Macaca mulatta: one gene and its partner. The protein of the gene in region 2 purifies or fractionates together with the protein of the main gene of each other region. This does not show direct contact. Links are inferred from orthologs where the notes say so. Each region holds a gene or a part of one and is shown on either strand. Other genes may lie near its edges.

Region 1 (4,179 bases), about 96 Mb from region 2:
CCCCATCTCATGTTTAATCTGTAGCTTCCCCAAAGTACCTGGTGTTAGTACTGGGGGGAGAATGACTCACACGTTGAATAAATTGTTATTAAGGCATCCGGGTTCAGTTGCGAACATACTAATAGTGAGGAATCGGAAAACCAAGTACTGGTGAGGGTTTGGCTGCTGACTGCCGAAATCACTTACTGAATGTGAGGCCCAATGTCCTCTAAAAATAATAAGAGTTATTATGTGCCGAATACTCCCTATGTCCCCAGAACTATTAGCATTTTGTATACCATCTCATTTAATCCTCAGGTTTCCACTGTAGAGCATGGCTATCATCAACTACATTTTGCAGATGAGGAAACTGAGGCACATAGACGTTAAATAATTTGCCCAAGTTCATACAGTCAGTAATGGCAACGGATTGAAATTCTGGCAGACAAACAGCTTGCAGTCTCTACCCTTGTGTGTTCCACGATATTACCTCCTAAGATGAAGGGAAGGGACTGGAGGATCGCGAGGGTCCTTTCAGCCCTGCTAGTGTGTGGGGGATGGGGAGAGGGATATTCAGTTTCTCTGTTGGGAATGTGTAGCATTCAGCACCACCTCATTCCTTCCCATCTATGAGAATCTTTTGGAAATAGTCCTCACTGTTAGGCCTATAGGTAGCATCGCCAAACTTGGTTTAGTTCCCGTGCCCCATAAGAATACTTATCAGGCCATTCTTTTCTGAGCATGTGGGTTAAGTAAGATCTCAGTGGTAGTGGGACCTTGGAGAAATGAAGCATCTGAAATGTTGGCCACTGAGAAAAATGCTGCAGTGAGAAGCTGCAAGCTGCAAGCTGCAAGCTCCCAGCTAGCTGGCTTGATGGGGACCACAGTAAATCAGGAGGAACAGTGGAGGCTGGTGTGGGATCTTGGGGGCCAGAACCTGACCAGGGGATGTTGACCCAAAAAAGCAGCAGCAGCAGTAGCAACAACAACAGCAAGAACAACAATAGCTACAAGCCAAGTTCAGGCTAAAAAAGCAGGCAGTGTGCCAGGAAGGGGGCCGACTGAGCGGTGTGTGGAAGCTGTCGCGGAGGTGACGGTGGGGCCATGAGAAAAGGGGAAGGAAGGAACAGACAGCACCAGAGGGACTTGAACAAAGGGAGAAGGGGGATTAAAGTCAAATCACTGTCAGCAGCCCAGGAGCAGACAAAACCACCAGAGTAAGCCCTGAAATGGAAATGAGAGGGAAAAGAAGCAAGCCGCTAACAGCTACCAAGAAGAGGAGGAAGTGGGAGATGCGCTGCTTCCTGTAGAGAGAACGTTGATTGAAGACAAAGCTGGGTGGGGACTAGTCCCTGGGCTGCAGCCGCCGCTACACATACTCACAACGCTGCCGCCGCGCTCCGTGGGCAACTCCTACTACTGCTGGGCTGGGCTGGGCTGGGCTGCGCCGGAGCTCTCCTGCACAGATCAGCTCCGGAGACAGGGGAAAACCACACTCCTCTGACCAAGCCTCGGGAGCTAAGGTAAAGGAAACGTTTTCCATGTTGCTCGTTTTTAATTGAGAAAAATGACCGTCGCCTGTGGTTTTAAGGTCCGATTTCTAAGGGATGATAAAGACATCGCTTCAAGACTAGGGGAAATGATTAGATTCTTTTGGAAGGGTCTTTGAGAACGACCACATTTATGACACATTTGATTAAAAAAAACCCTCATCATCAGTGCTTAGATTTGATGACTCGACAGGGCAACATGCTAAATACAAGAAGCTGTTTGTATAGTTCTCTCGGAAGAAAACCAGGGCTGAGTCGAAATCCATCTGGGGCTGTGAAGCCGTGGTCTGGTCATCGGAGCCTTGCAGTCCCCTTGTTTTAGGGGAGTAAGTGGTGTAAAATATTAATTGCATTCTCTTTCTTACACATTGCACTGGGATGTCTTCTGATCTGCAAAAATAATGGCTGTGATTTCGCTTTTGGGGGAGTTAAATTCTTTTGTACTTAGATTTTGCCAACAAAGGCTCGAATTGCGTATGTGAGGGGCAGTATTTACCATTAAAAAAACAGTGTCTTCCTCCCTTAGCTTGTGCAGCTGCTTTCAGGATAACCTCAGGCACAGCTATCATTTGCCAGTAGGTCTTATCCTAAAGTTGCATCCTTGTTCAAAGGAGTGTGGCGGGTTTAAGGCCAGTAACTTGTCCAGAATCAGATACTAGTATATGTATGGATTTTATGTTTATATGCGTTTTCTTCACCTCTAGGTCAAGGTGCATGCTAGCCTCGGTGAGGGACAAAATAAAAAAGTGCAGCTGGGTTCTTTCCTTACACGAATATGCTGTAGATAGACGGAAGTAGTAAAACCAGAACATGATTTTTATTCTTTGATTTTCTTGAGCCAAGAATGTTCTTAATGAGAGCTTGGGTCTATGGCTTGTTCATATTTATGAATGATATGTAAAAGTACACTAAATAGGTCTGGCAGATGAGAACTGAGATTGTGAGATTCCTCTGACAGGATATATAGGTGAGTTTAATACCCTGGTATAGCACGATTTAAAGAATTAAGCTATTTTTTTAATCTTCAACAGAAAGTACAGTTAAGCAGTAAGTAGTTATTGATAAAAGGGGTTTTTTTTCTAGAGTTTCTATAATGAAAGGAGATAATTTTTCAAAAGAAAGAGGAAAAAACTGCTTATATTGGAGTAAAAATAACAAAAATGTCAATATTTTGACACTCACAAATTCTTGAAACATAGGTTCTTAAATACCAAATATGCTAGTTGAGAGGGCATGTATATATGTATCTCCTCGTTTATCATCATTCTCACTTGTGAAGAGCTATAGGGCTGTTTTTAATGCTATCTTTATGAAATCGATATGGCTTCTCAAAATCTGTGGAGTAGCAGCACATTTTGAGAGATGGGAAGCTTTCATAGCTACTAAAGAAAAAAAATGTCTATTTCTCAGAGGTTTTTTGCTCATTAAAGTAAACCTGCACCGTGCCTAAGAGACAAAGTACTGCTGGTATTGAAACCATGGAACTCCTTGAAGGATTTACTGAATTTAATCAAACTTGTGGGCAAAACAAGTCGTGACATGGATTTTGCAGTTCGGCTTCCTATTTGCATCCTAAAGGGAAATATGTAAAGATCATCTTCTTAGAGAGGAGACCTAGGGTAGATCTTAGATCCAGAATGACCCAGTGGAGTTCTAGAATCAAGCTGTACATCATGAAATGAAGTAAAAAGTTGGTAACCTGAGCTGCATGGATGAGGACAGGCTTACCCTTTGATACTTACTCCTCTGCAGGCTGTATTCACTAGATAATGCCAACACCCTGCTTTGTTTGGGGAGGCACAGACAATCTGCATTACTCTTCTGTGTGTGTTTCACACATGAGTAAGAAAATGAAACCTTGCCCGACGGGCATAGTAGAGTCAAGAGGGCCCTGCTATCTTTCTGAAAACAACTAAGAGGTGCCTATTTTCTGCACAGCACAAAACATTTCTTAATTGTTAAATTCCAGCTTGAAGCAGAACATTAGTGAGTAACAGCAGATCAGTAACTATGATGGTAGAATGTTTAGCAAAAAGATGAATATGCTTCTATGCTGTAAAATGAAACTATTTCCACTTATTCTGGCCATATGGAATATTGAAAGACATAATGATTTTTCTTGGGGTATTCACTGGCTGTTGAGGAGTAGACCAACACTGAAATTTTAATTGTACTATTTTTTTTTTTTCTGCCATATGGCCAATGGCTGAATGGAAACATGACTCCATTATTTCATGGCCAGCCTTGGGCCTCATATGGTGGGCATGTAGTGAATATGTTTGGTTGACTGACTTTGTTTAGCCTGCTTCAGAAAGCAAGCCCAACTTTTAAGTCTAAAAGCTGTATAGTCAAAGTAGAAAGCCTGTTCATAAAAGACTTCTGTGGGTAGGAGAAAACACTGTGGAGTGAAAAGAACACAGGCTTTGGAGGCAGACAGATCTGCCTTTGAAACCTATCACTGGTTCTTACTACTTAACTTGGTACATTAACTTAGGAACCTCAGTTTCCTCATTGTAAAGAAGGGCTAATAATACATAATCAAAGTTTTTCTTTTGTTTTGTTTTTGCTTTTGTGTGCGGATAAGTGAGTGCTTTCTACATAGAAGATACTCAAATGTTATTTTTTCTTCCTTGGTGACATAAGGAAAAGT
Region 2 (2,798 bases):
CAACAAAGACCTGCCTTAAACCAGACCAAAAAAACCTCGTGCATGCCTTTGTCCTCCTCTTCTGAGATGCCACTACACCTCTACCAATTCTTGATGTTCCACACTGAGGTAAGCAATCAATTTAGCTTTGCTCTATGAATGGGCATCTTTTTTTTTTTTTTTTTTGAGACAGAGTCTTGCTCTGTTGCCCAGGCTGGAGTGCAGTGGGATGATCTCGGCTAACTGCAACCTCTGCCTCCTGGGTTCAAGCGATTCTCCTGCCTCAGCCTCCCGAGTAGCTGGGACTACAGGTGCCTGCCACCACGCCTGGCTGATTTTTGTATTTTTAGTAGAGACGGGGTTTCACCATGTTGCCCAGGCTGGTCTGGAACTCCTGACCTCAAGTGATCTGCCCACCTCAGCCTCCCAAAGTGCTACAATTACAGGTGTGAGCCACCACGCCCGGCTTAAACAGGCTATTTTGGTAGTATTTTGGGGGAGCCAACACTCAACAAGGTTATGGAGCTATCTTTGAGAATTTAATGAAAGCCATGAGGACAAAATGCATACACCCCAAATTTGGCATATATAATTTCAGGGGCTTCTCTTCCAAAATTAAGCTATAGGAAAACTAAAAAAAAAAAAAAAAAAAAAGGAAGATAAAAGTAATAATTTCAGGGGCTTCACAGCCTCTTGGATCTGTGACCCTTGTCATCACACGGTTAATAATTGTAATAAGAACCCTATACTATAGGAGAAAAGACTGGTTATCTGTGGTTTGCCAAAGGCTAGAATCACAAGAATCAGACTTTTAGGGTCAAAAGGAACTTTCTGGAGGATGAAGCCTAACTATTCCCTCACCTACAGGCTGATACGCAGTTGTCGAATCTATACGAAAATACCTGCATTGATGGGGCACTCGCTACCTCTCCAGGCAACTAGTTCCTCCTGTGGCTGTGGGCAGAGCGGAAACGAGAGCTCCGCGAGGCTGACCAGGCCCACCTGAGCTTACTCTGAAAGCCTTCCCTCTGCTTCAGAAGGCCCGTCACCCCTCCCCTCTCCTCTCACACACAGGAAAAGAGAAAACCACCTCTCTTACTCTGAGGGTATGATCCCATGATCCTGAGCAGAAAGCAGTCCCATCGGGGGAAACTCGTAGAGTGCTAACGCGGTTTTCATGGCCAAACAGGATGGAGACCCGGGACCCTTTGAGAACATCCCAGACGTTGATAGTGTAATCATTGTATCCAGCAAACAGCAGGCGACCTTGAAGCAGGGTGAGATGATAGCTGTTAAGCCAGTTCCTTGCTTCCTGTTTCTCATTACATGACTGTCACTCACTCACTCATTCAGTAAGCAGTGATTCAGGCCCACTGAGTCCTAGGCACTGTACTTTGCCTTGAGGATTTAAAGGGGAGAAAGCACAGTCACGGCCCCTGGTGGAGGATGTGGGGCCGAGAGGAACAGATCACTGTAGCATCCCATGGTAACAGCCATAATGCAAGTGCTTTACACACGTAAAGTGCTATGGGACCAGAGAGGAAGGGGGATCAAGGGGGGCACTGCAGACACAAATAAATTATTTCTAGTCATTTGCTAGTTAACAACTTGTAAAACTTGTTTAAAGAGAGAAAGTTAAAGTGACATTTGAGCTGGCTCTTGAGGGTTGAATAGGAGTCAGTCATGCAGAGAAGGCAGGGAAAAGATGTTCCAGGCAGTAGCAGGAACTTCATGTGCAGATAGTCTAGGGATGTGTCTGGGGAAATCGAGTGGTCCAGGTAGCCAGCCTGTTACCTCTGCTTTAACTTTCCATTTTGCTTTCTTTCTTTGACATGATCTTTCTGGAGCTATGCTTTTTCACTAGCAACTTCCCACAAAGGAGCCATGAGCTTCATTCACGGCACTGAGAAGGGACTCATTTTATTTTTTCCCTTTGAGTCGGAGTCTTGCTCTGCTGCCCAGGGTGGAGTGCAGTGGCACAATCTCAGCTCACTGCAAGCTCCATTTCCCAGGTTCAAGTGATTCTCCTGCCTCAGCCTCCCGAGTAGCTGGGATTACAGGCATTCACCACCATGCCCAACCAAGTTTTGTATTTTTAGTAGAGACAAGGTTGCACCGTGTTGGCCAGGCTGGTTTCGAACTCCTGACCTCAAGTGATCGCCTGCCTTGGCCTCCCAACGTGCTGGGATTATAGGCGTGAGTCACAGTGCCTGGTCAAGAAGGGACTCTTGCTTAACCTCCACCTTAGAGAAAAGTTCCCTTTGGGGCATGAAGAGAAGCAAAGACTGGGGAGAAAAATGCCTGAGAGCATTGCAGAAGTGAATTTCTGACACTTCATTGCCTTGAAGGACAGCATTAGGTGAGTACACAGCCTTCATCTCCCCCTGGAGTGAATGGGGCTAGGGGAAGTTGCCTGGAGCAGGGCAAAGTGGGAGGTCAGAAGCTCAGAGGAAAACTGGTGCAAATGTGGATGATTTTGCATACTGGTCCACAGGAAGCTCGGTTAATGAAAAGGAACTGAGTGATGGTGGAGCGCTAGTTTCATTCCGGTCCTGTCTTACAGTCCCGGGAAAAGTTTCTGAAATAAAATCTTACCACTGAGGGAGAAGTCCACGCTGGATGCTCCAAATATGATACTCTCTTTGGAATAGATGGCGACCTCCCTGTCTGCCCGCAGGTCATAGAGGCGACACTGGGGGGCAAATAAATAAAGCAGCACTTACTTCTGGCTTCAGTTTGGTGATGTGATGACCACAGAGCTACAGGTAGGTGCTAGTGACTTGTGCAGTTTAAAGGATGAAGGAAAAACTTCTTAGTTT

The links. The genes of interacting proteins can lie anywhere in the genome.
Region 1: the proteins of GNB5 (region 2) and GNG2 purify together in Homo sapiens (affinity purification with western blotting; 4 studies listed by BioGRID and IntAct, with this or other methods). This does not show direct contact. The link is inferred for Macaca mulatta from reciprocal best matches to the Homo sapiens genes GNB5 and GNG2.

Annotation. Positions count from the first base shown.
Region 1 is NC_133412.1:125,049,495-125,053,673, forward strand, and holds the start of GNG2 (guanine nucleotide-binding protein G(I)/G(S)/G(O) subunit gamma-2), read left to right. Parts: upstream 1-1,369; 5' UTR 1,370-1,502; intron 1,503-4,179. UniProt on the Homo sapiens protein: Guanine nucleotide-binding proteins (G proteins) are involved as a modulator or transducer in various transmembrane signaling systems.
Region 2 is NC_133412.1:29,420,447-29,423,244, forward strand, and holds part of GNB5 (guanine nucleotide-binding protein subunit beta-5), read right to left. Parts: intron 2,672-2,798; coding exon 2,575-2,671; intron 1,246-2,574; coding exon 1,079-1,245; intron 1-1,078. UniProt on the Homo sapiens protein: Enhances GTPase-activating protein (GAP) activity of regulator of G protein signaling (RGS) proteins, such as RGS7 and RGS9, hence involved in the termination of the signaling initiated by the G protein coupled receptors (GPCRs) by accelerating the GTP hydrolysis on the G-alpha subunits, thereby promoting their inactivation.